Mus musculus: one gene and its partners. The protein of the gene in region 6 purifies or fractionates together with the protein of the main gene of each other region. This does not show direct contact. Links are inferred from orthologs where the notes say so. Each region holds a gene or a part of one and is shown on either strand. Other genes may lie near its edges. The genes, in order: Ncbp1, Srsf5, Ybx1, Prpf40a, Snrpa1, Sf3b1 and Zfp326.

Region 1 (4,149 bases), on a different chromosome or scaffold from region 6:
CAAAGATACATTGTACTGTTTCCTATGCCCTTGTTAGAATCAGACTGTAATTCAGATCAACAAAGTAGACAAAAAACACCACCATAAAAGAAAAAAGTAACTTTGACTCTACAAACTTAAAACTAGAATTTAAAATGGTAGAAGAATATCACTTCTGAAACAAAGTATATTGTCCCTATGTATAACAAACTTTTCATACAGTTAAGTGTAAAAACATCAGCCACAATAAAATATAAAGACCTAAGTGGAAGTAGAATAGGCTATCTGGACTTTTGACTAAGATTCAATCTAAATTCCTTCTTTTTTTTTTTTTTTTTTTTGGGTTTTCGAGACAGGGCTTCTCTGTGTAGTCCTGGCTGTCCTGGAACTCATTTTGTAGACCAGGCTGGCCTCAAATTCAGAAATCCGCCTGCCTCTGCCTCCCAAGTGCTGGGATTAAAGGCGTGCGCCACCACGCCGGGCCTAAATTCCTTCTTAACAATAAGACAATATACTTCACACTGATAAAATGTATATCCAACATTACTGAAGAAGTTCAGAGATACTGTTAAGGAATCTAAGCCTGCCAAGTATGGTATTCCCCTTGGGGTAAGGCAGGGCAGTCAGTGGGATCTATCTAGCCAGGACATAGGAACAGGCGTTCCAGCCTGAATTGCATAGTTCTAGACAGCCAGGACTACATACATAGACAGCCACATAAAGACCCTGTCTCAAAAACAAACAAACAAAAGAGTCTAAGACTGAGTTAGATTTGATACTTTCCATTTACCATAGCCCTTTCTGTGACTCTAAATAAACTACGGGAACTTTATTGATTAGCAACCTTGTAGTATCTCTGTGAATCCCCAATCATATAGTCCTAACAGAAATGTTCAAGTGGCCCAGTGAGGTAAGAGGCTCATCTAAACTCCCCGGTCTCACAACTTCTACCCTCACTTTCTCTCTTCTACCAACAATGACCTCCTTGCTGTCTGTTCTCTAACACGACAGAAATGTTCTAACCTTAACTCACGGTTTCCTTTGGACCTCTGCTTCCTCCAAGCATCCACACGGCTCATCCTCACATCACTGAAGCCATAGGCCATCTGCAAGGAGGCCTTACCTAACCAGCTTCTCTCTCACTTTGGTCTCTACACCCTTTACCTCACATTATTCTCCACAACCCCGTGACCTTATAACGAATTGCACTATACCGCTGTGGGGTTTGTCTTAACCCAGGGGAGGGAGCCTCCACTGTTCTACTGCCTCCTACTCCACTGCAAGCACAGAAGCTAGGAAACTGTTTAGCAAGTCGGCACTCCTGATGTATTAGGACATTCTCTCAGGTACTACTGGCAGAAACCTGGGGCTCCACTATATGGGATTCGCTTGGTTGTCTTAACATTCCAAGGGAGGAAGCTAACCCAATTAAACTTGGGGGAGGGAGGGCTTTTTTTCTCAACGATGTCAGCATTTATCTGTGTGTATCACCTCTGAGACATTAGCAGTTGACAAAATAAACATCATCATGAACTACTGGTGAGCACAATATCTCATTTAGCCCCCCGTAGAAACCAAATGGCTTAGTATTATCCACAGTCCACGCTTAGGTTTAAGAAGTCATATGACCCTGACAAGATCACATAGTAAATAATCGAGATGTCGAGCTTCGAACCTAAACCCTTCGGTTCTAAAGTTTTTTCTTGCCTTAACCCTTTGGACCTAACACTAACAGCTCCAAGTGTGTTCTTGAAAGGCAATAATGGTGCAACAAAACAAAATTTATGGCAACACAACGACGTCCTTGCCGGCGACCATCAAAACTGACATGAGAATTAATAATCTGCTCGGGTTTTCCTGCACTTTCTTATAAGGGAAATATGCTTAAAGCCAATCCAACAAAACACCCCGTGCCTGTTTATTAGTGACCTCTGGGGTGTTGGTATTCTTTTTTTGAAGCCTAAAAGAGGGGAATCAGCGGGTGGCAGGTGGAGGAGAAGGGCTCAGATTGCAATACATCCGACCTCTGTCATAGCTTTGTTCTTTTCCTGTCTTCCCAGGGTCCTTTCCAAGTACACCCTGGAGGGCTAAAAGGAAAACACTGGTCCACTAGATATATCTCCTCCACTAAGTGATCCTAAGAGGCAGCAGCAGACAGACACACGTGCGGTTTCCATGATCAGTAGTGAGGGATTAAGTCCTCAGTGTCGCGGGACCCCAGGTCGGATTTGCTCACGGGATTCACCAGGCCTTCCTTTCCCATGACTGAAGGAGATGGGGTAGCAGGGAGGCCGTCGCTTTCCCGAAGCCACTATCCACAACCGAGCCAGCAGCCTCCCTTTGGGGCTCCCCGAGCCCTCCCGGGGAGAAAGGATTCCTATCCGTTCCCGGGAGACTGAAGGCGAGCCCGGCCTCGGTTCTCACCCGGACGCAGTGGCCAGGCCGAGAGCACTTACCATCGTTCTCGTAGCTGTGCCGCCTCCGCGACATGCTGCTTGCTGGTGCGCAGCCGATCTGAGTTGCTAGCCGCCTGCAACCCCAGAACCGTCGGGCTGCCGGCCGGCCGGTGCGCGGTCAGCGGCGAGGCGCGCGGACTGAGCGGCGCGCAGGCGCACTCGCTTACGACGCCTGCCGGAAGCGCGTGCAGAGGGGCACCGGATGGGCTCCGCAGTGGAAGGCCGGCGTCTGCAAGTCCAATTGCGGCCGCCTCCTCCGGCTTTCCACCCCGGGCCCTTCTGGACAGCGAGCTAAATTATCCGGGCCGCAGCGATCCCGCCTCGGCTTTATACAGGCCCGGCGGGATTTTCCCGGCGGCCCCTGCGCCGACGACTTAGGAGACTTCCGGAGAAAGGTGACGGCTCAGGGACTCTCTGCGCACGCGCGCGCCGGGGGGCGTGGGCTCGAGGGCGGGGAGCAGCGCCAAGTTGGTGAAGGGAGACCCAGGAAAGGCCTAGGGTTTGCGGGTAGGTGTTCTCTCTTTCTCTCTCGCCATCCCGCTGTAGACGCCTCGGGAGACCTGAGCGGGGAGGAGGGCAAGCCACTTTCAGCGGTAGGGAATCCAGGCCCGTCCGGCTGAATCTGCTCACTGTAGTCCTACTGCCTACTTCTCCCAGCTGACGGACGCCCCAGCTACTGATCGGTGTGGTTCCAATTGTTCTATTCCTCTGCACGTGTACAGTATGTGGACGTCCTCTGCCCTGTGATGGACACCAAACTGTCTTGTCCATGGTCTAGCCCAAACTTTTCCTTCAGTCTTACCTGTTACAGTAAATGGCCGTTTCGGTAGTTTGCTTAAATCCAAGAATTTAGGGAGGAGTCATTAGCTCCTTCACTTCCTGTGTTACAGTTTATCCACTAACACTGCCTGCTATACTCTGAGAGCAAGTCTAGTCAAACTTATTTACTATGCTTAAAACTCTTCACAGACTTAAAGCAATATTTTATGTATTTGTAAGTCTGTACATCATCCTGGAACTGGAGTTTCAGACTCTCTGTGAGCAAGGAGGAGAGTGCGCGGGAGCGGGGTGGGGGTGCTGAATCCCGGGTCTTCTGCTAGAGCAGTAAGCACTCTTAACCAGTGAGCCATCTTGCCATCTTTCCGGCTCTACTTCTCTTTGTTTATTTTAAAGATTATCGTTTTTCTATTCTTTTCATTTATTTATTCGTACATGCAAGCAATCCATCTTTCCAGGAATTTCCACTGCGAATTCCAAACTATGGCTTCTTGGGTTCTGTTCCCGTCATTGTGTGTAAACCACCATGTTCTTCTGCTAAAGTCCAGCTTGTTCACATTTTAGGAATCAAGACTTATTTTCTTTATCTGTTGGTCTCTGCTCTGAAATTTACATGACTAACTGTCAGGGACCTACAGAGTTATTTCTCTGACTCCTCAACTCTTGCTTTATTTCATTCAGCAAGTACTATATTGTATTAATTAACATTTGTCACCGTCTGTACATGGGACAACGAGACGGTGTTCAGGATACTGAAGCCCTAAGTGACCCTCTCAGGAATGATCACAGGTACTGTAGTCTGACGGACTTAATAGCAAAGGGCGAGTGGTACAAATTATCACTCATCCTTTGCTATTGAGGACAGATTATCCAGAGTAAGACTTTGGAAGAGTCCTCCAAGAAAGGATTTTAATATATTCTCATCTGGCTCCAGTTG
Region 2 (4,200 bases), on a different chromosome or scaffold from region 6:
TCACGTTATCAACGGTTCTGGGATCGCTGCAACCCGGCACTTCAAGTAAGTGCACCGATTACGTCTAGACCGGCAAACACAGATCTAGAGGTGGCCAACTGATCACTGTAGGAGCTGACTGGCAAAGTCAACCAGGCCCAACCAAGAGTGACCAAGACAACGATTAGGATAACCCACAGGCACTCCTCGTCATAAGGCCAACGACACAGATAGGCTGGCAAATAAAGGGTTTAATATTTGGTTAAAATTGATTTTAAAAAACATGAAAAAATAACCTCAAAACATTTACATTTGATCACTAATATTAAAATCTGAAACATCCCCCAGTTACATTTAACTAAAGTTTAAAATTATAGTTCAATTAAATTAATTTAAGATAAAGCATTTAATAAGATATATATTAATAAAACATTAACTACCCATTAACACTTTTAAATGCCACATTAAAAAATATCTCAAAACTGTATTTCAACAAACCTGCCAGCTGACTCTTGAGGATAAATTCTCAACTATAAGTCGATTTTCTGTTCTTACAGGTGGAGCATTTCTGAAGAAAGAAAAATAAGCATTCAGTGTCAGATGTTATGTCACAATGTCAAATGCTATGTGACAAGTTTAAGCCAAGATAGTGATTCCATCAAGTTTCTGGGTTCTCAGCATGTGGACTAACTAGACTTAACTAGTCTGAGAACCATTTAATGCTAACGGACCCTAACCCAACCGTAACAGCCAAACCCAAACCACATACCGTCTATCATTTCGAGGTCTGCGACTGCTAAAACGGTCGGAGTATCGTCCTCTACCTCTTCCACCTCGAGACCGAGCCCGGGCATGTTCAATCGTCACCCTACAAAGAGGTAAAAAAAGCATTCACACACTACACATGAGAGCACTTACATATGCAAATGTCTACTCTGCTCTACTTCCCTGGGAGAACTACTTATAAACCAATCATGCTTACCTTTCACTGCAAAGTTCCTTCCCATCAAGTTCATAAACAGCATCATCTGCATCCCTTGGGTCCTCAAATTCCTAAAATGTAGCAGTAAGAGTAGAGCTTTTGGACGTGCATGCATTCTACAGCACATTAAGATCATGGAAGCCGAGCGTGGTGGCGCACGCCTTTAATTTAATCCCAGCACTCGGGAGGCAGACAGATTCCTGAGTTCGAGGCCAGCCTGGTCTACAAAGTGAGTTCCAGGACAGCCAGAGCTATACAGAGAAGCCCTGTCTCGAAAAACCAAAAAAATAAAAAATAAATTTAAAAAAAAAATCATGGAAGTGTTAAGATATACCTTACACTCAGATACTATAACCCTAAGCTAGGGATGACTGAGAATCAACTCCAGCCAGCAGTTACTTTAACTTCTTAACAGAAGCCACTGCTTCTTGGCCACTTCTAACATCTTTCTGGGAAAACAATTCACATGGACTCAGAGTCCATGCTCATCACAAGAGCTCTACCCACTTTGTTTTTTTTTTTTTTCTTTTTTTGGAGACAGGGTTTCTCTGTGGATTGGCTTGCCCCTGCCTCCCAAGGGCCAGAGACCAAAGGCATGTGTCACCACCACAAAGTTACCTAACTTCTCGACAGATAATTCAACTCAGTTTCAAGTACTTACCACAAAACCAAAACCTCTTTTCAAGTCAATATCTCGGATCCGTCCGTAACCCTTGAAGAATCTTTCCACATCTTTCTCCCTCGCTGCTGGATTTAGTCTCCCAATGAACACTCGACAGCCACTCATGATGCCCGGCTAGTGTTTCCTGTTAGGCAGTAATTGAATCGAGACAATATCAACGATTGACACCATGGGGGTGGGGGATGTTCAGTCAAGCAGTCAAACACACCCCACGTTTACCAACTCTACTAACAAGGTCGCCATGTACCTTTTAAGTCGTTCACGACCACCACATTCAAATTCCAAGTTAAAACTTAACTCTCCAAAAGACCCCCTTCCCAGGTTCCACACGGCAGCCCACCACAACGCCAGTAGCCACCTTTCTAGACTGCGCAGCCGCACACGCTGTCCCCGGATCCCGGGGTTCCCCTCCCATCTGCCGCAGTTAAGGCCAGGCCGAGAAATGCGGGCGGAGCCGAGCCCGCCCTCTGCCAGGCCTGGTCCAATAGCAGCCGGCCGCGCCCGCGTCGCGGCCTCCCCGCGCGTCACAAGCCGGAATCTCGCGACGCCACCACCGAGCCTGCGCAGTGGGCGACGGGGCGCGTTCGCAGCACAAAATGGCGACGGCCGAAGTATGCGGCGGGGTGTGGGGGGGGGAGGAGCGTAGCGAGCCGAGCTGCGTGCCCCCGAGACACGGGCAAGCCCGGGGCCCAGAGCGCTGCGCCTGCGCCGGCCCACGGGGGGAAACCCTAAGCTGCCCTGGGCCAGGCCGGCTCCCCGGCGTCCGGGCCTCGATGAGAGCCATTAAGGGCGGCAGGGAGGGGCGCGCTGCTTCCCGACACAAACGCCCTCCCCACGCCCGCCCTTCCGCCTCGTGTCCCCCTCACGCAACACCCACAGGGAGACGTGCCCCAGCGCCCACCTCAAATCAACTGCGCTCTCTGAGTCGCCGTCCTCCGCAAAGAGCGAAGCCCCGGCCACTTGCGACCCGAGCGGCCATGAAGAAGCCTCGATCCGAGAAGCCTTGCCCTCAAAGCGTGCCACTCACCTACCGGACAGGGTCTTTGGCGGCTGAGACCCCGGAGAGGTCCGTAGTCTGCGACGGAGCTGTCTGCCTCCCTACACAAACACACACACAACACACATACACACGAACCCAACTCGTCTACAGTCTCTCCACAACTGACGCACTTAGCAGCTCGGACGTTGCACAAAATGGAAGGGACGTCCTGGCGTCACTTCCGGGGCGGTGCCAGAAGCTCGGGGACCGCCCACTTGGAGCTGAGGACAGACGGTTCCTGGGAGCCGGAAGTTCTAGTAGGGCGGGGCTTCCTTACCGCGACCCCTGGCGAGAGCAGTGGGTGGTGGGAGGACTAGAAACGTTCGTTCAGTTGGCAGGATACACCGGGACACTTCTTTGGATACGAAAAGATGTATTTAAACTTTTTCTTAGGTCCCTCGAAGATTACCAAGAAACCCAGGCTTTTCAAAAATCACCTGTTTCTTTTAAAAATTCATTTACATAGTCGGTCTCGCTAAGCAGTCCTGGCTAGCCTTGAGCTCAGCGATCCAGCCGGTCCGCCTTCAGTGTGATAGGATTATTGGCCCGAGCACCAGGTCCAATTCTTTCTTTCTTTCTTTCTTTCTTTCTTTCTTTCTTTCTTTCTTTCTTTCTTTCTTTCTTTCTTTCTTTCTTCCTTCCTTCCTTCCTTCCTTCCTTTCTTTCTTTCTTTCTTTCTTTCTTTCTTTCTTTCTCTCTTTAGCCTCTTCTGCAAATTGTACTTATCAATGTCCTTCAAGAGAGGGTTCTTAGCCGGGCGTGGTGGCACACGCCTTTAATCCTAGCACTTGGGAGGCAGAGGCAGGAGGATTTCTGAGTTCAAGGCCAGCCTGGTCTACAGAGTGAGTTCCAGGACAGCCTGGTCTACACAGAGAAATCCTGCCTCGGAAAAAAGAGAGAGAGAGAGGGTTCTCTGAGGCTCAAGTAAGTGAATTCTTTCAGTGTTGTGGTTTTTGTTCTGATCAGCCTAAGGAACTGAATTGTTTTCTACTAAAGGAGAGATTTCACGTGGTGAAATAATGAAATTGGTACTGTGGGTAAAAAAAAAAAAAACAAAAAACGCTCCTATATATTGAATCCCTAGGGCCAATCTTGGCTCAGCTAGCTGGGAAAGATTTCAAGTTGTTTCTAAATCCAACTGGCCATTGTCCATTCCTTTCTGTCCAGGTCTCAATCTCAATAGTTAGGTGGACGGTGGTAGCTTCAGCCTTTAATCATCTCTGTGAGTTCCAGGCCTACCTTATCTACAAAGTCCAAGACAGCCAGGAAAACCCTGAGTCAAAGAACCAAAAAAAAAAAAAAAAAAAAAAAAGAGTCGAAATCAACAGTTATTGAGAAATAGAGTTTATGCTTCCAGCATGGATGTAATACACAGCAGTCCACATCGGTAACTCTATCCAGCCTTCCCCAGTGAGGTTGGGAGGTCTAGAAACATTGACAATAAAGACTGTTGTTGTTGTGAAAAAGGCTACTTCTCTTTAATATTTTTATCTGTAACCTAAGGCATCATCTAGATTT
Region 3 (3,562 bases), on a different chromosome or scaffold from region 6:
CCACCACACCCGGCCCCCAACATTAGGTTTTAACCAACACTGTCTGTTATCGGTAAACTCACACCTGTGAATCTTACCCAGGAATTCTTTCACTATGCTCTTGACAGCAGAGTATTTACAGCAGTCACCATGACTGGTATGAGCTAACACTAACATGTCTCTGTGTGTTTATGTTAATAGGGCTGCTGAAGTCTTTCATCAATTCCTATTAGTTTCTACTACAAAGAATTGGCCTAAAAAGTTGATGGACTTGGCGGACAACTAGCAGCCATTAGTCCCCACTCAGCAGCAGTTCTTTAGTGCGATGCCAGTGCGCTCGCCCTGGAGCTTCTCTAGAGGGAAACACCCCAGACTAGCCCGGCCCCACAAAGCTTCTCTACCCCACTCACGTGGCTACAGCTGATGCCTCACAGCACTCCTGACAGACTGCTTACTGCTGGTGTTACCTGTTATTCTAAAAGTGGGAGAGAGTACTCAATTATGACAAAACTAGACATTATTATTTAAGACCTTTATTAACAGGTGCTTGCAGTTTGTTGACTTTTTTGAAAAAATCAAGTTGTAAACTTTATTACAAATTAAAAATGAAGTTCTTAAAAATCTCAACTTGACCAGATATGAAACAATTTAAAAACCGTTAAAGGTGTATTGAGAAAAACCAGGCCTTTTTTTTTTTTTTCTTAAAAAACACGTTTGTCATTACCAAAAAGAGACATCTTTAGGTAAAAATAATAAAAACCCCATGCTGCATAGATAATGCAGATAGTTCTAATGTTATCTGGTCAGAGGGCAAAAAGCAAGCACTTAAGGTCTTCAGCTCCAATCTTTGTTCATTTCTTATTGCTGGAATTTCATATTCATTTCTTCTTGTTGGATGACCAAACTGCAAAGAAAAGACTCTTAATTACCATCCCGAAGTCTAGCTCGTGGACCACACTCTAGAATTGGCACTCTAGCAGCCACATTTCACCCACTGTTTGGCTTTAGCTTAAAGGATGATTTACAAGAAGAGAAGTGGACACTAATTGAAAAATATGGCAACCCCAGAACCAGAGCAGGTAAACAGTCTTACTCGCTAGTAAAGTCAAATTAAGCTAAACTAGGCATGACAGACCTCAGATTTCCTGGTTGGCTTCAAATTCAGAAATCTGCCTGCCTTCTGTGTGGGTGCTGAGATTAAAGGTGGGCACTGCCAAACCTGGCAAGGTTACTTTTCAAACCTTCAAATTCACAACACTGTCTTCAGAGCACAGGAAGTAAGACTTTGCTTAGCTTTCTGCCAAAATTATCATTGATTCAGAATGTAGGCAGCTCATAATCAAAAAAGTACATTTGTCTAATTTGTGCTAGAGTGCACAACACTATAATAAAATGTCTTATCTTAATCTATTACTGCCAGTTTCTTTGCACCGTAGCTCAGTGCAGTGGAAGCCAAGGGTGCCTACTTACCCGGATGATGGTAGAGATGGTAAGCCGGCATTTACTCAGCCCCGCCCTGCTCAGCCTCGGGAGCGGACGAATTCTCAGCTGGTGGATCGGCTGCTTTTGTCTCTTTGCCATCTTGTGGTTTAGGGTTCTCTGGGCGTCTGCGTCGGTAATTGAAGTTTCGGCGATACCGACGTTGAGGTGGCTGCTGACCTTGGGTCTCATCTCCTTGATTTTCTTTGTCCTCTTCATTGCCATCCTCTCTAGGCTGTCTTTGGCGAGGAGGGCCCCTGAAATGAATGCTACATAATCTCAGAAAACAGTAACAGCTTTTTTCCTTCCTTTAGCCTTACCACAAGTAATATTTGGTACCTGGGTGCACCAACCATTTATTCAAGTGGTCTTTCAGACAAGCTTACTTAGCAAAAAATCTAAGTTACTCTCAAAAGCCAAGTGTATAAGTAGATTCTCATTCATTCATATTAACCAAGATCAATAAAGCTGAATCAGCTGCTCAAATGCTTGGAAACAGAACCATGCTGGTTCCCTCTGCCTGGACTTTTCTTGCCAGTAACTATTCTTCTATGTACTATGTACTTTTAAACCTCTCATTTCCATTTAACACACACTGAAATCCTTGACCTAATTTTTTACCGATACCAGTACCCTTTCCATCAAAAGGAGCTATACTTCCCACGGGTCTTAATATTTCCTATTTGTTCATGAACAAAAAAATTAGTATTTTCTCACCATGTACTTATACATGAGTAGCACCATGTTTCATTTACTACTGTTAACACTTAAACTGACAAGCAATCAACTGAGAAGTGACCAATTTGTGGCATGGTTAGAAAATCCTTTACTTTGTGCAAACTTTAAAGCTTGCACAATGTGTTACCTACCATAAAACTAATTCAAGGGCCGGAGAAATGGCTCCATAGTTAAGAACACTTGTTTCCAGAGGACCAATGTTTGATTCCTAGCACCCACATGGTGGCTCACAATCAACCCTAACTCCAGTTTCTGGGGAACCCACAAGCTCTCTGACTTCCATGGGCACCAGACACATGCAGGCAAGCGTTCATACATATATAGAACAAACAAAAATCAAAGCAGAAAGGATCAATACCTATCTTTATAAAAGGCAGACATACAACTAAAAACACCAAAAAATATTTGCCCAAGATATCAGTATACACAACTACCTGTTCGTTCTTAACATCAGTACCAAGGGATTTGATGCCTCTGACTAAGGCACACATACATGCAAACAAAACATGCAAATAAAATAAATCTAAGAAATATATAACCAACTATAATGAACCATCAAAAGGTCCCTAATAATCTTAAAAACACGGGACATTACGCAGAGGCAGGCGATCTGGATCTGAGTTTTGAGGCCAATCTTGCCTGCACAGAGTTTCAGAACAGTCAGGGCTACATAAAAGCTTGATCTCAAAACAAATGAGTAACACACAGGGCAGTAAGCATGAGGGCGCACACCTTTTAATGCCAGCCCCGAAGAGGCAGAGGCAAGCAATTTCTATGAGTTCTGGGCCAGTCAGAATTACCAGGTGAGACACTGCCTCAAAAATGAAATCAGGGCTGGTGAGATGGCTCAGTGGGTAAGAGCACCCGACTGCTCTTCCGAAGGTCAGGAGTTCAAATCCCAGCAACCACATGGTGGCTCACAACCATCCGTAACAAGATCTGACTCCCTCTTCTGGAGTGTCTGAGGACAGCTACAGTGTACTTTACATGTAATAAAGAAATAAAGAAATAAATCTTAAAAAAAAAAAAAAAAAAAAAAAAGAAATCAAACCAACACAGAGCACTGGTCACACTGGGTGCCAGGGTAAAGGCCTTTGATTCTAGCTACTCAAGAGGCCAGGCAGGAAGGCTGGTCGTTTGAAGCTGGCAGCTCAAGCAACTTAAATATTCTCATTCTCCCTTCTTTCTCAAAAAAACCACACACACACACACACACACAAAAGATTAAAAGATCACAAATGTTGACATACACACAAACACACCACACACACCTAATTGGGGGTGGGAGGGTCAAAATCAGGAGGGTACTTGGACAAGTGGACAGAGGATTCAATCCCAAATTCTGGGTGGGGTGGGGAACCTAGCC
Region 4 (4,205 bases), on a different chromosome or scaffold from region 6:
GGACTGCTAGTGCAACAGCACCGGGACAGCAAGGGTAAGCAGGCCAACCCCTTGCAAACTTACCTTGCCTGGCCCAATGGACACAGAAGGCCCCAGAAAAGAGAGAAGCGTCTGGCAGTAGCAAATTGTTTTATTTTATCTTTCTGTGGAAAGAAACTAATTTTAAATAAGAACCAGAGCATTAGAGAATAAATATTTTTTAAAGCTCATTATCTAGTTAGAGCAGCTCTACCAAGAAAACAAGAAGGGTTTTGTGCTGCTTAGAGATGGAAAGATACAGAAAAAGAATCAAGAGTTGTCTCTGCATATCCTAGGGAGTTTTAAAGTATTATTATTCGAGAGTAACAGAGCAAAAGAATCTTTTCTATAAGGAACTCCTGCAGGCAGAATCTTTTCAGTTTGGTGCCTTTGAATACAATTTTCTTATCCAAAATTAAGGGCTATATTCCAAATATAAAAGAAAACCACTTAACACTGAGCCATTCTACTCTTTAAAATAAAAAAAGCAAACAAACAAAAAAACACAAGTTCCTGTTTCCCCCTGTAATTTCACCAGTAACTTTAGCCTTCATTGCTCAAACCATCGTCAAACTCAATAGTACTCATTAGCAAAAGAAAATATACAACTGGCTTTCTAAAATATTCTGCTAATCAAAAATTTCATGACTTATCAAGATATTCAACTGGAATAACCCAGCCCACCTAAGAATCAGTGTATTATATAGAACCTAGCATAGGACAGAACTGTTGATGCACCTCAAGCTCTTGTCTTTCTTGACCACTTCTCTAGAAATTCTACCCGTGTTCCTGAGTCATCTTAAAACCTTTTAATCCAATCACTCCTACGAAAAAACGTCCATTTACGATTTGTGCTAGAGATTCAAGGGGCAACGCACAAGTAGGAGTATAGAAGCAATTATCATTCAAAAATTAAGTAGAAAATGAGCTACCTATTTGGCACTGTCCAGGAAAGAATTAGTAATAGAGCAGAAAATCCCTCCGCACCCCAAACAAGAGGAAGATACTCCAAGAATAAAATTCATTCTACATGAAAACCCCAAGTAACTACTATTTTTCTGATGCTAGGCTTTACACATTCACCACGATTATCTTCTGATATATATTTACTCCTAGACCATTAATAATTATAATGCCTGAAATAAAGTCACTAAGTTAAATAGATTAGATGTATACTCTCACTTTAAATTATTTGCTTGGTTTTCCAGATAGGGTTTCTCTGTCTTGGAACTCAGTCTATAGATCCAGGCTGGCCTTGAACTCAGAGATCTAACTGCCACTGCCTCCCAAGTGCTGGGATCAAAGGCGTGCGCCACCACAGCCGGCTTATTTTTTTTAAAGCTTAATTTTGTTGAGGAAGTCAGTTAATTTTTTCTCATACAGTCTTACTACATTCAAAATTTGGTTACAGACATGAGCAATGTAATGTTTTGTCTTGTTTGAAGACATTACGTGGATATAAACTAACCTTTAAAGGGCTGCAAGTACACCACTGACTTACATCTTAAATACATCTCGACACACTCAAACAAAACTAAGCAAGCCAAAGGGAAAGCGTCTTCTTACTTGTCCCATTGGAGGCCCTCCCATAGGGGGCATCATCTGTGGCATCATTCCATGAGGTACAGGAGGCATGTTTGCTCTCTGACCCATAGGGTGCATGCCCATTGGTGCATAATGCATGCCAGGATGCCCCATCTGAAAAATAATAAAAAGGGAGAGTGAGAGACAGTTAAATGCTTCTTTAAAATGTCATTTCAAAAACAACAACTAAAACCCATCAATTAAGGCACAATATTAAATCACTGTGATTAAATTACAGTATTAGCATATACTGAAGTTAATCTTAATTACACTACAGTGATTATTAGATGGGGCCTGAAAATTTACAAAATAATGGAAAAGTTAAACCCATTAGCGGATTACAACCCCTCTCCAATGACTTAACAAACTGTTAAATGACTGGTCAGACTTGGTGACTATGTATTGAATTCCAACTTAAAAAATTATTACGATGAACACAACTTCCGTCACCTTTATACACATAACCAGCTTATACTACTTAAAATTACATTCATATGGACAAGACCTAAAACAGAGTGCGGGTACCCAAGAGTACTTCACAAATGTTTTAATAGAGTTAAACTGTCCCAGACACTAACAAATTCATGCCGTTTTAGGGAGCTTAAAATATAATACTTCCATTGTTCCTGGCTTGAAACTAAGTATCCGCAGCCAATTCTCCCAACCGAATCCCCCAAGCCCTGCAAATCACCACCACTCCCGGAGAAATAAGACCGCAGCAGCCGCTCCTTAAGTCCCACAGACTTAAGTGTCCCTACTGTAAGTCAAGCCTGGGGCTCTCAGATGCACAGTCCGCCCGGGGCCCAGCACCTTCCTTCTTCCTAAGGCATCTATCTACCTAGGCCAAGACCACTGGCAAGTCCAAGGTCCCACCTATTTCTTTGTGTGTTCCCGCCCTCCATCTCTCCCCCTTGGGACGTAGCCCACCATCTGCAGCTCTCTTCCTGATATGCTCTTCTCCGTTTGGAGAGAGCTTCCTGTTTCTCTGACTCGGTTTTTCATTGTGCCGCTTTCCCCTACCCCGCCGATCCCTTACCGAGGGCCGTCTCCTCAGGAAGCCGTCAGCAGAGACCCAAGAACTGGAGCACAGGTTTGAGCCGGACAATCTCCGCTCCCCGTCCCCGGGACCCCGCGAGGGAGGTTGGCTCTCCATTTCACTCACCATGAGGCCTCCACGCTCGGCTCCAGTCCCCGGCCTCATCGTCGGGCTCAGACTGCTCCGTCGGCGGCCACTGCCGCTGCACATACCAACAAGAAGCGATCTGAGTGGCTGGCGCCCGCCGGGGCCAAAGGGTAAAGGCTGCCCTGAGCTGCGGGGCGGGATCAGCGGGGCCAATAAACTGACAGGCTTCCCTACTGTCCAATCAGAGCGCGAGACCGACAGGCAGCTCTGCGGCGATTCGCCCCCTGCCTCGCTCGGCGTCGCCTGCATGGAGGGGGGGGGAGGGGGGACGGAGGAAGTTTCTGCGTCGAGTGCTCTGCCGGGGAAACTCTACCAACTTCCCCCAGGAAAGGGGACACGGCGGGGACCCAGATTCCCGGGTTCGGGCCACCGCACCCCGTCGGGGGGTGGGGCAGTGGCGTCCAGCCCCTCGCCCTAGTTACGTTCGCCCCACAAACCTGAGGCCACCAGGGGTGGGGTGGGGGTGGGGCGGGGGAAGCGGCACCCGGCGTTAGCGGCCTAGTGCGCGCGCGCGCGGTTGCCCTGGGGAGGGGGTCGTGCCTTTGGGGGTGGGGGGGAGAAACTCGAGAGCTGCGCGCGCGCCCGGCATAGTGAAGGGCGGAGGCGCGAACTGTATCTGGCGGGGAGCGGTAAAGACAGAGATCTCTCGCCCGAGGGAGGAAGCGACTGGCGGTTAGGAAGGCGCGGAACTGCGGTCATGGGGCTCGAGAGGTGCGTGCCCACAGGACCCGAAAGGGTGGAATAAATGAGAGTGTTGTCGCGGCGGGCCATGGGCGCGCGCTCCCACGGCGCCTCCGGAAGCGGAGTCCCCGGGTAACCCGCTCTTGCACTCCCCTACGGTTCTGCGCGCGGTGGTTGGGTCCGCCGACGGCCGTCTCTGATTGGCTGTAGCCGGGGCGGGGCGTGGCGGTGGTGGACAGCCGACCTTCGCGGGACTCTCAGTCTTTCCCGCCATGTCGTTCGTGGAGAGTTGGAGGTTTGCGGGCGCGCGGAGGCGCCGTCAGGTTACCCCAGGCCCTGCGACTCGGCCCGGGTATTCCGACTACACTCAGGGGGACAGCTGGGGTGAGGGCGAAGGCGACGAAGACGAGGGATGCGACCAAGTGGCCCGCGACTTGCGGGCAGAGTTCTCAGCCAGGGCGTCGTCGGAGACCAAGAGGGCCCCGCTACTCCCCCGGGTCGGGGACGGGTCTCCGGTCCTGCCGGATAAGCGCAACGGCATCTTCCCGGCCACTGCGGCCAAGCGAACCCAGGCTCGGCGGTGGCCCATCCAAGCCCTTTCCATTCTCTGTTCGCTGCTGTTCGCCGTCCTCCTTGCTTTCCTTCTCGCCATCGCCTACATGATCGTTAAAGGTATTGAAGCCCAGGCCTTGAAAGGCTGTCCAGCGTAAAGTGCAGCCAGTACATCACACGCCCCCAT
Region 5 (4,011 bases), on a different chromosome or scaffold from region 6:
TTCTTAATGAAAGCTTTGCCATCAGGGTGGTGGTAGTGCACGCCTTTGATCCTAGCACTCAGAAGGCAAAGGGAGGCAGATCTCTGAGTTTGAGGCCAGCCTGGTCTACAGAGTGAGTTCCAGGACAGCCAGGGCTCACAGAGAAACCCCACTCATACAAACAAATATGATCTTAATTTCACAGAATTATATTGTAGAAACCAACTACAAAAACCAAAACCAGCATAGTGGATGAGGTATAGGTACTCAGTGAAAAGTAACTTTATTTCATAAAAAGATTTTTACTGTGACAGGGTCTCACTATGTAGCCCTGGCTGGAATTTGCTGTCAACAAGGCTGTCCTTGAACTCAGAGATCAGCCTGCCTCAGACTCCAGAGTGTTAGGATTAAAGGCAGATACCACTACACATGGCCTTTATAAATCTTTTTAATTATGATGCTATTGATGACTACTCTAAAATCTGATTTGTTGACATAGCACAATGCTTCAAATTCAAAGTTTAATGTCAGTTACGAATATTAAAGATTTCTGAAGAGTAGCAAGTAAGGTCAGGCCAATGCCCAAGTTAATCTCCAACCTCTTAGGAAAAGGGCTCTATTCATTTCTCCCTTTAAGACACATGGGCAGGCTGGAGTGGTGGCTCAGCAACTTAGAGCCCTGGCTGATCTTCCAGAGGACCCAGATTCTATTCCTACAGCTGGAGCAGCTCAGGACTATCTGTAAACCTAGCTCCAGAGAAGCCAAGGCCCTCCTCTGGCCTCCAGAGGCACTAGGAGGGTGTGTGGTACCTGCAAGCAAAAAACTAATATACATTAAAACAAAACAAAACAACAACCAAAACCCCATTATCTTCAGGGTACATTAGAACACTTACTTAAGGGAAGAAAGTATTCTCACTAGCAGTCACTCACCAAATTCTGTTGTTGTTCACTAATAATGTTTTCAGTCTTCTCAACAAAGGGAAACCGTCCAGTTTCCGGATCTCATTGTCAGAAAAATCAATAGCATCAAACTGGTCTAAGGTGGCACCCAGATTCTCAATAACCGGAATTTTATATCCTGTAGAGGGAAAACATACATACAACAAATATTAATATAAATGAAAAGTCCTGAAAATCGCAGGAGTATGTGATGGAATTTGACTCAGCGCTCCCATTCGGGAAGTATTAACCAGGCACTAGCACCATGCCGTGCACTGAACAAAAATAAGGTAAATGACGAAAGGGTTAAGTGGAGGCCTTAGTGCTACAAAGCTTGAAGTAAAACTGAAGAGGCTGAAGGCAAGAGGAAGAACAGATGGGCATATTTACTAGTATTGGTGCCCATGGTTTATTAAGAACGTCTATGAGGTATTCACATTCGTCACTGAGCTAGGTACTATAAGGAAGGACACAACCCAGCTGTGAAGGAGTGCAATAAAAGATATGGTAGCAGAATAAGCATTCTCCAGACTGCACGGTTTTCAGAGAGACAGCAGACATCAAAACTGTGCCAAGACAGTGAAAGGACCCAGATGCTCCTGAACCGGACTTTTCTCCAAGAAAGTTAATTTCATTCAACAAACACAAAGAACACTAGGATTTCCCATAGGCAGGAAGAAACTTTCAAAAATGGCAGTGCACAGCGCCCCCGAGACTTTGATTGCCTCTGGTCACAGTCTTATAATCTTAACCCCTTCCAAAGCCATCTCCTGAATAGTTAACGATTACCTCTCAGTTCTATGTTTTAAAAATCAAGTGCTACTTCTGTCAGAACTGAACAGGTGAGTTCCGCCACCCCACACACAGAAGTGACCATTATGCCACGGTCAAACAGCTCAATCTTGAAAACACCAAATTATCCGGGGCTGCGGGTCTGGCTCAGTAGCGCGAGTGCTTTCCTGACAGACATGAAACCCTGGGCTCATCCAAAGCACCATATAAACGTGGTGCAGGCATTTAAACCCAGCTCCCAGGAAGTGGAGGCAAGAGGGTCCGAAGTTCGAGATAAACCTTAACTATATAACGGTTTGAAGTCAGCTCGGAATACACGAGACGTTGTCTCAAAAACAAATGAACAAAACCAAACCGGAATTATTGGGGCAATTAAGGTAACTCTGGTACATATCCACCCTACCCTCAGGTGCCACATTAACGCTTTTGCTAAAAAACAAACAAACAAACAAACAAACAAACAAACAAAAAACACCAGCCAGCAGCCGGCCTGTCCGTAGCGTTTTCTATTTTCCTAGTCCTCCAACAGTTAAAGCTGCTCGATGAGCGGGGCAATGCCTAGTGAGTACGGTCCGGGGAAGGAATCGAGGCGCCGTGTTTGCTAGCCGGAACGCCGGTAACAAACAGCCCCAAAGGGCCCTGCGGGACGGTGGATCGGAGGCGCCCAGCCCGGGTGGAGGCCCACGGGCCAGGCTCCAGCCTCTGCGCACGCGGCGGGGCTGGTTTCCCGCAGCCACGCGCCGGGGCCGGAACACAGCCCGCGCTCCGTCTAACTCACCCCGGAGGTCCAGTTCACGGTCCCGTACGGCATTTGTGTACTGCGCCGCCTGCTCGATCAGCTCCGCCGTCAGCTTCACCATCCTGTCGCAGCCCGCGGACCCTCACCTCCGACACCAGCCTGCGCCTCCCGCCAGTGCCGTGTCCCACAGTGCACCGCGCCTCGCCGCCAGACAGCACCAATCGTATCCCCGCGCAGCTCGACCGCCAGGCTAAAGCAATCGAAGACGTAGCCCCCGTGTCTTTGCTTCTGGGTTCTGGGCTTGAGCGTGCCTGGGAGTGTGGGGAGCCCAGATTCCAGTTTTTTTAATCCAAAAGATAAGAACACGCGAGGGATGCTCTGTCTCACGTCAGTGAACCTCAAGGGAGGGGTAGTTGGGACTACTCTCCCTTCTCCACCCAACAAGGGGCGGAGACTGTGAAGTCTCCTGAAAGTCAAGTTCCTAAATGTCTAACTTGGGCTTCCGCAGGTAAGGGGCAGGACCCGTAGGCTGGATTGCCTTAAAACAGAACCCTTCTGACCTGGTACAGTCACCTTAAAGCTTGAGGGTGAACTTGTAGCCTGTAGACATTTAGGTGTTCATACCAAAGCGCTGGTCAGGTGGCTTAGAGGTTAAGAGCACTTGCAACTTTTGTAACGGACTTGAGTTGGCATTCCAATATCCGTCTGGACACCTGACAACTGCTTGTAACTTCAGCCTCAGGGGATTTGCCGTCCATTTCTAGCCTCCTCAGACACCGGCAACCGCAAACACACACACACACACACAAATAAAATAAACCATAAGTGATATTCATATTGACTAGCTGTGATGGAGAATGCCTTTAATCCTAGCAGTTTGGAGACAGAAGGAGGTGGATCTCGGAGATAGAGGCCATCCTCGCCTACAGAGCCAGTTCCAGAACAACCAGGGATACACAGAGAAACTCTATCTCAAGCAAACAAACAACACCAAAAAAATTCATACGAAGTGCAGGGGAATACACATATCAGAAATTGCCATGTGATGAGTGCCCCACAGTGAATACAATATACCTGCAGAGCCTTGGCCTCTGTCTCCAAAGGCTTAAATGCACAAAATCATGTGCATATTTTTTTAAATCATAGCTTACTAATTAATGTACATGCCCACCTGTGTATACGTGATGACCCCTTCAGCCCTAGGCCATCAACTCCAACTGAGGCTGCACCTTCACTAGTGACCATCCCTGGCCTCTCACAGTGCCAAGCCTTAAATGCACGAAATCATATGCGTATTTTTTTTAAATCATAGCTTACTAATTAATGTACATGCCCACCTGTGTATAGGTGCAGGGGAGGCTTCAGCCTAAAATTCCCTGGAGCTGGCCGTTGTGATCCTTTGGACATGTGTGCTAGAAGTCAACCCCTGGTCCTCAGCATGAGCAGAAAACACTCTTAAAAATACTTTTAGAAATTATTTGTTATATCTCTGTGGTTTTGGGCACATGAGTGCAGATACCCACAAAGGCCAGAGGTGCCAGATACTCTGAAGTCGGGGT
Region 6 (4,257 bases):
TGAAACTACATGAAGAGATTGTCTAAAAAAAAAAAAAAAAGTTCTAGGCCAGACTGATAAACAGAGCAAATTCCAGGACAGAGCTACAGAGAGAAACTCTGTCTCAAAACAAACAAACGTAGCAACAACACAACAACAAAAAAAGACTAAGACAATAAAGATTTATACTGAGGGACCTTATACCAAATTGTGACATACTTCTATAATATTTTTTATTAATTCAATAATAAAATAATCCTAAATAAAATAGCAATTTTTACAAAAAAAAAATCGAAACTCAGCACTCGGAAGGCAGAGGCAGGCGGATTTTCTGAGCTCGAGGCCAGCCTGGTCTACAAAGTGAGTTCCAGGACAGCCAGGGCTACACAGAGAAACCCTGTCTCGAAAACCAAAAAAAAAAAAAAAAAAAAAGCAATTGCAATTTTTGAAAACAAGTTTAGCTGGGCTTCTACAATGAAAAAGGAAAGGAAAGGAGGAGGGAGGGGGAAGGGAAGGGAAGGGAAGGGGAAAGGAAAGAGGAAAGGACCCTAAACTTTACATTTACCAGGGCCAGAAAGATGGCTCTGCAGCTGAGAGCAGTGGCTGCTCTTCCAGAAGACCTAGGTTCAGTTCCCAGCACCCATGTGGCATCTTACAACTGTCCTTTAATCCAATTCCAGGGAATCTGACACCTTCAGACAGACGTTACATGCAGGCAAAAATATTAATGCACATAAAATAAACTTTGCATTTATCCAACTGGGAGTATGCTACATTGAAGATATCAATAAGCCAACAATCAAAGCTACAAAATATCCATAAATCTCCATAAATCAATAACCTATTAGGGTATGGGACTCTACCTATGCAGCTATAAGGAAGCCAGTAAGGAGTAAACCATGCTTTCCTTCAGTAAGCACTTCCCCTCCCCCATGCTCTGGAAGTCCAATAATTTCACTGGTTCCCCACAATGGAAAACAATTAAAATAAATAACCTACCACTGACTGAACAAAACAGCGACACGATTCAATTTCCTAATTATTTTACAAACAATATCTGAAGTAGTCTAAAGATAAATAATGAGGCCAAAAACATTTCTGGCTTTAAAAAGTGTTGGGCTAGGGGCTGGACTGCTCTTCCAGAGGTCCTCAGTTCAATTCAATTACAGATGGCTCACAACCATCTGTAATAGGATCTGACGCCCTCTTCTGGTGTGTCTGAAGACAGTGACAGAGTGTATTCACATAAATCTTTTTTTTTAAAAAAAGTGTTGGGCTAACCAGGCACAGGCCTTTTACCCAGCACTTGGGAAGCAGAGGCAGGAGGATGAGTTTCTTTGAAGTGGGACCCAGTCTCCTCTATTCAGGAAGTTTCAGGGCAACCGGAATTACATAGTAAGACTATCTCAAAAAAGAAAACAAAAACATGTGTTGTACTTTCATGTTTAAAGACAAAAGACTAGTTAATGCAGGGACATTTCTGGCTTTCAAAAGTGTTAGTATTTTCAGTTCCTCAAATGTCCCAGCTATTGGTCCTAAACCATCTCTTTAGATTCGCATCGGAATTCCCTCCTTACACCCTCCTCTATCCTACCACAGCGACACTCACTGCATGGTACAAGATGTTCCCTCCGGCTCAGACATCCTCCCCTAATTTAAAACTGATTGATCCTTTTTTATCAGCGCCGCGTCACCACCTCCCAAAAATAACTAAGCATAAATTAATGGCTCCGTTACCCAGCTTCTCAGAAAGTACTGGCTTTACTTCTCTGTACACATTCCTTTGATTTTCTAAGAGAATATTCACACATCTGCTTCCACATCAAACTGTCAAATTTCTGACATCCTTAGCTTGTTACCTCTCTCTAACACCGAGACACACACTTAGAAAGGACGGGTTTAGTGACTTAGTGTCAGCGTAAATTTTGGCTTCTTAACCGGGAGCCAAGAAACAGGGATTCTGTCTCTCAGACTCAAATTCCTTCCCGTCTTCTCTGGTTACTTTCCTTATGGAATCTGGTTGCTTCTCAACATGTTTCTAGCTCTGTTTACTCTTGTGCAGCATAAAATAAGCGACTACCCAGAAAACTTTGGCAACTGGTCAAATCTGCCTTTCCTTCTCTCTTCCTCCTGATTCTCCAACACCTAGCTCTCAAAGGGAAAAAGATAGAACACCAGGACACAAGTGATTAAAGGAGTAAACTACCAGATTTTCTGCCGGAATCATTTAGTGCAAGCACCACAACACGATCCAGCCGCCTTGGAGATGCCTGTATCGCGAAGGCTGGGATTGGCAGGCCTGCGCTGAAGCGGCCTCCGTTAGGAGCGGCCCGAAAGCGGCTGCCGTCATTCAGGGCTTTCCAGGTACGAACTGCCGACGATAGCGCCCGGGGGGCGAGAAAGTCGGCCTCCCACGTCCGCCTCCCCGCTCCCTCCCCGGGAGTCCCCCGGGGCAAGCCGCTCGAGCGAGGCTCTCCGGTCAGAACAAGAGAACTCGGAAGCACCAACAGCCAGCGCGGAACAAAGCGCCGGTCCCGGAGTGCGAGAGGACGCCATTACGCGGGCAGCGGCCTGCGCCGACGAGCCGAGCAGGCCTCGCCGCGCGGCCTCGGTCGAGACCAGAGATGCCACGCGAAGACGCAGAAAGCCAGGAGAGAGGGCCGCGGCTGGCTGGCTGCCGAGGTCGCGCGTGGGAAGGGAAAGGCCGCTTACCTTCGTGAGTCTTGGCGATCTTCGCCATTTTGTCCACTCGAACACACAGACGGAACTGGCGCTCCCAAGGACTTCCGCTCGCCGCCGCCAGAAACAGAGGCCGCTCTCTGAGCGTGCGCACCCGGGAGCGCGCGCCGCACTGTAGCACGTACTTCAACTGCCACCTATATGAGACTGCGAGGGGCATTATGGGAGTGGGCGGGGCCAGGGCGGGCTCCCGGCGGCTTCCTTAAAAAGCCAGCGAAACCGCGGGGAAGACTAAACGCGGAAGAGGATGGCTACTTCCCAAGAGGGCTGTAGCCTGTCCGGCCAGTGGTGGGTAACGTGCCGTTAATTCAAGCACTCGGAAGAGAAGAGGCAGTTCGAGGCCAGCCTGGTCTACAAAGAGAGTTCCCGAAGCCAGGGCTGTACAGACAAAGCCTGTCTTTAATAAAACCAAAGGAGCCTGGCAGTGGTGGCGCACCCCTTTAATCCCAGCACTTGGGAGGCAGCGGCAGGCAGATTCTGAGTTCGAGGCCAGCCTGGTCTACAGAGTGAGTTCCAGAACAGCCAAGGCTACACAGAGAAACCCTGTCTCGAAAAAAACAAAAATAAAAAGTAGAGAGAGAGAGAGATTAAATTACACAAAATAGAATTTAGCCAAAGGAACACTGCCTCCAAGACACCCAAAAAATAAACAGTATGCTAGCCAGGCCTGTTAGAAATAAAGTTTATGATGCCTAAGATGTTAATGTTGGTTCACCAGTATTGACCAGCCATTAGATACGGTAGAATACTTCTCTTAACAGGCAGCTCAAGGGAATAGTATAGGGTCACAAGCAATGTTAAGTCCTGATCTACAATAAAGCCCAGTTCTTTTCTTGAGAGAAACATAATTCTGCCAAATGGGTAAGATGACCCCAGGTAACAACTATTTGAAAAAGTACAACACTGGTGCACTTAAAATAATTCTGGCAATAACTGATGCCTAAATGACCAGGCAAATAGGAGTGACCTATTGACCAGATTTTCAGCCTTCTGTCTCTGTTTAAGTTGTACTAAATGTAACCCAGGGTTGGGACCTAAATTACAAATTTGAGGATAACCTCATATTTGGAGAAAATAAGCCTAAGGTGTCTCTAAGTTATCAAAATGTATTCAAGGCTGGCCCTACCGAGCATTAGCCAGAGCCAGCTGTGCCAGACCTTTTTCCTTTATTATCCTCCAAATGTGCAGGATGCTTTCTCACTGGGAAGGCTTATCATTTCTATAACAGATTCAAAGGAGCATTTGCTGCATTTGTGGTAATTGTAGAAGCTAAATACTTCCTGGAGTTCCAGAGTAATGATAAACATCACTAAAAGATCACCCAGAATTGTCTTGTGAATCCTCTTTTATAAAAATAAGATTTTTTCATGCTGGGCGTGGTGGCGCACGCCTTTAATCCCAGCACTCAGGAGGCAGAGGCAGGCGGATTTCTGAGTTCAAGGCCAGCCTGTTCTACAAAGTGAGTTCCACAGGGCTACACAGAGAAACCCTGTCTCAAAAAACAAAAACAAAACAAAAAAGATTTTTCTCACCACAGCC
Region 7 (4,292 bases), on a different chromosome or scaffold from region 6:
GTTAACAAGTATCCAAGGCTCTTTATGTTTTCCTTTGATGGTCAGAGAAAAATGGCCTCAAAAACAAAGCCAACACATTTTACAACAAAAGTTGCATAGAACCAAGATAAAAATCTACTTAAATCTATGTAACTGAACATCAATGTCTTGTCAACAAAAGTAATTCAGCCAGTTTCGTGAAAATCAATCACTGAGAAAGTGGTAACAGATAAATAAAAGAATTCTAAGTAAAATAAAACAGATACAAAGTCCAAGTAATCTAACTTCTTGTTCTGACCCCAAGTTCAAATATTATACACAGAACTGGAGATATCACTGTGGCAGAATAATTGGATGGAATTTATGAGATTTCTAGAAAGTCTACATGTACACTTTCTCACACACACACACACACACACACACCATAAAAACAAACACGATATATAGTATGACATTAACACTGAGATTTATAAATCAAGAGTGAGAAGAATATCTGAAACAAAGTGGGCAGGCTTCCTGCATTAATACCTGTGTTTCTATAGATATGAAGAGAATACCAAACTATATCCCCTCAACAAAATTAAAAGGAAATGCAAGAGGACACTCACCGTTAAAGTCCTGGTAAGCACCCCTGCAAGTAGAGTGCACGTAATCTACGAAGACACATAAACAACAAGGAGTTAGTGTGATGTGAGCAAAAGCCCAGACTCTCATCTACTCAGGCATTAAATTAATTACCAAAAAAACTGGGATGCAAATAATTACAAGCATCCACTTGAGGAAGCACATCACCCTTTCACTGCCTAATGGCAATGTAAAAACTATTTAATGTCCATATTTGTAACTGCCAAAAGAGGAGACCCAGTATTAATTTAACTTACACAAAGCAAAGGTAAAACGATTTTTCAAAAACGGTGATGGATGTGAAACTTGGTCTTGTGGAATACAAATGTTTCAAGGTCAGTATTTGTTTTACCACTTCATCTGTTCTCTCTAAATACTTTAGAAGCCTGTCTAAAAAACACATATGCATATATGTATGAGCGTGGGCTGTATCCATCCAGGCATAATGTTAAAGCCTTTATTTAACTCTACAAATAAAGACTGGAAGAACGGAATTGAATATGGAGCTTCTAGATATAACTGAACCCTGGCACATGACAGGATCAGAGTCAGATACACTCAAATCTACAGCCCAACTGCAGCATTGGTGGCTACGGATGGGCTGTTAAGAGATTATTTATCTCTAACATTGTTCATTATTTTTATCATAAGTATAATGAAAGCAAATACTCCAAATCTGACCGCTATTTTTCAATCCTCTACAGAAAATGGATTTCCTTACTGACTGACTCCTCCCACTCTGCACACACTACAAGGTTAACTTCTGGCACACCACATAGGTTGGTAGTGTCATCAAACTTTGGTCTAAAACATACTTTTTCTCTTCAATGTCAACTCTGACTAGTGCACATAGTAGTAATTTAGAGTCACCTATATCAGAATGAGTCACTGTCCAACCCCGAAGCACAAGCAGGACGGTATGCTATCCTGAAGAGCTGAACTATATTTCAAAGCAACCGAAAAGTACTCCGAAAAGGGTGATTCTTTTTCCTATATTTACACTTGACAGCCTCAACCTCTTGTAGCAAATCAAAAATCAAAAGCTCATGCAATACGACCTACGCCAAAAAAGCACACCTCATTCAATGTCAAAGCCCATTTCTGGTGGAGGCAGAGGCTTCCTTCACAAGAAATGAACCGGTTTTATTTAGAAATACCTAGTTCCTCGAGATTACACCCAGTTTAATCCTACAAACTGTTCCTCGGCTCCCTAACACTATCACTACTGTTGATCACTTTATCTTGACACTGATTCCTATAAAAGTTGAGCAAGGTTTGAAGATACCAAATTAACTGTACTTCACGGCCAGGGAAAGCTGAAAAGCAACGTTACAATTCGGTTTATTTAACCAGCAAGTCCAACACGGGCTGCTGTGCACCGATCTAGCTGAACGTGAAGGGCATCTGGGGCTTGCTGTGCCAGAATTCTAACTTAGGTAGCATTCATACACAAGCCCCACCACTACCACCCCTAAAAACAAAAATAATAATGATAATGCACTGGGTCACGGAGCTGTTTCAGACGCGGTATTCACTAGCAGGTAACCTGGGTGAGATATTAGACAGCTCGGTCGGCTACGTGGTAATAACTTGCAGATTCTGGTTCTGGGGGAACCGAAGCCCATCTCGATGGAACGCCTAGAGACGCCCTTTATACTCCTCTCACACGGAGAAGCATCGCACGAGCCCGAGGCAGCCTGTGTCGAGCAAGATTCCAGAGCCCGGGGCGACACGGTGAGGACCGGCTCCACCCGCCACCGGGTCGCTGCCCCGAGGGCCCCGTGGGCCCCGTGGGCCCGGTCGCCGCTCGGCGAGGCCAGGAAGTTGCAGGCGGCCGCGGACGAGGCCCCGAGGCTCGCAGCTAGGCCGACCCCCTAGACAGCAGGGCCCCGGGCCGGCCGCACCCCCACGTGGGGCTCCCGGACCACAGGGCTCCGGGCCGGGCCCGCGGTCGCTGCGCGGCCCACAGAACAAAGCCACACGGCCATCTTGAGGCGGTAAACAGACCCCCGGCGCAGGCCGCCCGCCGCCCTCCCTCCCGCCCGCCCGCCACGGCGGCCCGCCCCGCGCGCCGCTCACCGTCCTCGAAGTCCATGCTCGACGCCGCGGGGCTGACGGTCTCCGCGCTGCGCTCGCTGTGGCCCGCGGCAAGAGCCCGCGATACGGCAGTGTCCACACGACCGGCCCGCGCGACCGACAGCGGCGCTACTAGCCGGGAAGCCGCAGGCCACAGCGAGGCTGGGGGCGGGGTCGGGCGGGCCTGCCAGTCGTCGCAGCACCGCCTCCGATTGGCCGACGCGGGGTGGTGGGCGGGTCTCGCGAGGGGGGCGGGAAGCGAGGCAGTTGTCAGGCTCCTGGGTCCTGACCCTGGGGATCGCGGGGGACGGAAGGTGAAACGGGAGTGCGGAAGGCTGGAGAGGGATGTTCTGGAAGGACTCCGGTTGGCCGGCCATGTTGGAGCCTGGCAAGAGCAACCGGGTCCAGGAGGGAGTGCCTTTCTCTTGCAGAAACTCATTAAATGACATGGCGACCTTTGGCTACTGTTGGCTGAAGGAGTGAGGAGGAGAGATTTTTTTCACTACTTATGGAGTTCCTTCCTCTGACACACAGAAGTGTGGGGCGTGCACAGGAACCCTGATTGCCAAATAGGACAGGATCATAAGACTATCCCAAGACAGGCTGCTAGCCACTGCTGGGTTGAAGGTAGTAAAGCAACTGTGAAAGTTCACAGATGGGAAAGATTTGGCAGGAAGAAAGTAGTCCACCGTTCAGCTCGAAGGGGAGAGGGAGGGAGGGGGAGGAAGAGATTATTCCACTTTTAAAATTGTGTTGGAGCAGATGCAAAGGTATTCACTCAGGAACACTATGGGAAGACTCTTGTGGACTTGAACCACAGTTTTAAATAATTTTCTCTCTGTCCTCACAGAGCAAATGGCATTAACAACAAATTGGTTACCTAGATAGGAAGCCAGACATCAATTCTTTGCACTCAATTTGCTAGACTCAGTTCGGAGGAAGCCGGAAATAAAACTGGAAGCACAGGGAGGTATACCACAGTAGCCCCAAATCTGGGCACGGCTTTGTGTCCTCCTGCTCATCTCTTCCTCCTCCACCCTCCCTGACTCATCCTGTTCTCCACCCTTTCCCAATTCCTTCTCTTCTCCCCTCCCACACATGTTTTCTGTTCACCTGGGCTGAAAGCTGAACTCACAATTTCCCTTCTCAGACCTGCTTATCCTCGTGTATTCTCTTGGCTGTTCACGGGGCGGTGAGCAAACCGCCCACTAATCCCAGCCAGAAGGCTGACTCGGTCCAGTCCACTCGAGACTAGCTCACCGCTCTTTCAGCCTCCTACTTCCAATCCACACACTTTTGTATCTGCTTACCCCACCTAAGATATCTTAGGTCGGCCCCACCCTTTCCATTTTCGTGGCCACTACCTGAGTTAGGATACTCACTGTCTCCCTGCAAAACTCTTGCTTATACAGGGCTGGAGAGATGCCTCAGTGGTTAAGATCACTGACTGCTCTTCTACAGAGGTCTTGAGTTCAATTCCCAACAACCACAAAGAGATTCACAGCCATCTGTAATGGGGTCCGATGCCAACTGGTCATGTCATTCCCACATTAAGGCTCTGAGTAGATCTGTCCAATGCTGCCTAACATAGAACACAAACAAAAGGTAGAGAT

The links.
Region 1: the proteins of Sf3b1 (region 6) and Ncbp1 purify together in Homo sapiens (co-immunoprecipitation; 3 studies listed by BioGRID and IntAct, with this or other methods). This does not show direct contact. The link is inferred for Mus musculus from reciprocal best matches to the Homo sapiens genes SF3B1 and NCBP1.
Region 2: the proteins of Sf3b1 (region 6) and Srsf5 purify together in Homo sapiens (co-immunoprecipitation; 3 studies listed by BioGRID and IntAct, with this or other methods). This does not show direct contact. The link is inferred for Mus musculus from reciprocal best matches to the Homo sapiens genes SF3B1 and SRSF5.
Region 3: the proteins of Sf3b1 (region 6) and Ybx1 purify together in Homo sapiens (co-immunoprecipitation; 3 studies listed by BioGRID and IntAct, with this or other methods). This does not show direct contact. The link is inferred for Mus musculus from reciprocal best matches to the Homo sapiens genes SF3B1 and YBX1.
Region 4: the proteins of Sf3b1 (region 6) and Prpf40a purify together in Homo sapiens (co-immunoprecipitation; 3 studies listed by BioGRID and IntAct, with this or other methods). This does not show direct contact. The link is inferred for Mus musculus from reciprocal best matches to the Homo sapiens genes SF3B1 and PRPF40A.
Region 5: the proteins of Sf3b1 (region 6) and Snrpa1 purify together in Homo sapiens (affinity purification with mass spectrometry; 8 studies listed by BioGRID and IntAct, counting the BioPlex papers as one, with this or other methods). This does not show direct contact. The link is inferred for Mus musculus from reciprocal best matches to the Homo sapiens genes SF3B1 and SNRPA1.
Region 7: the proteins of Sf3b1 (region 6) and Zfp326 purify together in Homo sapiens (co-immunoprecipitation; 3 studies listed by BioGRID and IntAct, with this or other methods). This does not show direct contact. The link is inferred for Mus musculus from reciprocal best matches to the Homo sapiens genes SF3B1 and ZNF326.

What each region holds. Positions count from the first base shown.
Region 1 is NC_000070.6:46,137,173-46,141,321, reverse strand, and holds the start of Ncbp1 (nuclear cap-binding protein subunit 1), read right to left. Parts: upstream 2,812-4,149; 5' UTR 2,470-2,811; coding exon 2,436-2,469; intron 1-2,435. UniProt on the Homo sapiens protein: Component of the cap-binding complex (CBC), which binds cotranscriptionally to the 5'-cap of pre-mRNAs and is involved in various processes such as pre-mRNA splicing, translation regulation, nonsense-mediated mRNA decay, RNA-mediated gene silencing (RNAi) by microRNAs (miRNAs) and mRNA export.
Region 2 is NC_000078.6:80,944,143-80,948,342, reverse strand, and holds the start of Srsf5 (serine/arginine-rich splicing factor 5), read right to left. Parts: upstream 2,845-4,200; 5' UTR 2,671-2,844; exon of another isoform or gene 2,545-2,670; intron 1,768-2,544; 5' UTR 1,749-1,767; coding exon 1,623-1,748; intron 1,033-1,622; coding exon 962-1,032; intron 848-961; coding exon 749-847; intron 548-748; coding exon 478-547; intron 1-477. UniProt on the Homo sapiens protein: Plays a role in constitutive splicing and can modulate the selection of alternative splice sites.
Region 3 is NC_000070.6:119,277,485-119,281,046, forward strand, and holds part of Ybx1 (Y-box-binding protein 1), read right to left. Parts: intron 1,728-3,562; coding exon of another isoform or gene 1,716-1,727; coding exon 1,481-1,715; 3' UTR 1,450-1,480; intron 884-1,449; 3' UTR 1-883. UniProt on the Homo sapiens protein: DNA- and RNA-binding protein involved in various processes, such as translational repression, RNA stabilization, mRNA splicing, DNA repair and transcription regulation.
Region 4 is NC_000068.7:53,188,385-53,192,589, forward strand, and holds the start of Prpf40a (pre-mRNA-processing factor 40 homolog A), read right to left. Parts: upstream 2,849-4,205; coding exon 2,639-2,848; intron 1,717-2,638; coding exon 1,585-1,716; intron 144-1,584; exon of another isoform or gene 64-143; intron 1-63. Other genes in the region: Arl6ip6 (ADP-ribosylation factor-like protein 6-interacting protein 6), read left to right, coding at 3,739-4,138.
Region 5 is NC_000073.6:66,059,173-66,063,183, reverse strand, and holds the start of Snrpa1 (U2 small nuclear ribonucleoprotein A'), read right to left. Parts: upstream 2,849-4,011; 5' UTR 2,574-2,848; coding exon 2,492-2,573; intron 1,061-2,491; coding exon 913-1,060; intron 1-912. UniProt on the Homo sapiens protein: Involved in pre-mRNA splicing as component of the spliceosome. Associated with sn-RNP U2, where it contributes to the binding of stem loop IV of U2 snRNA.
Region 6 is NC_000067.6:55,024,648-55,028,904, forward strand, and holds the start of Sf3b1 (splicing factor 3B subunit 1), read right to left. Parts: upstream 2,832-4,257; 5' UTR 2,720-2,831; coding exon 2,692-2,719; intron 1-2,691. UniProt on the Homo sapiens protein: Component of the 17S U2 SnRNP complex of the spliceosome, a large ribonucleoprotein complex that removes introns from transcribed pre-mRNAs.
Region 7 is NC_000071.6:105,875,089-105,879,380, reverse strand, and holds the start of Zfp326 (DBIRD complex subunit ZNF326), read right to left. Parts: upstream 2,814-4,292; 5' UTR 2,699-2,813; coding exon 2,683-2,698; intron 2,608-2,682; exon of another isoform or gene 2,150-2,607; intron 994-2,149; exon of another isoform or gene 861-993; intron 633-860; coding exon 588-632; intron 1-587. UniProt on the Homo sapiens protein: Core component of the DBIRD complex, a multiprotein complex that acts at the interface between core mRNP particles and RNA polymerase II (RNAPII) and integrates transcript elongation with the regulation of alternative splicing: the DBIRD complex affects local transcript elongation rates and alternative splicing of a large set of exons embedded in (A + T)-rich DNA regions.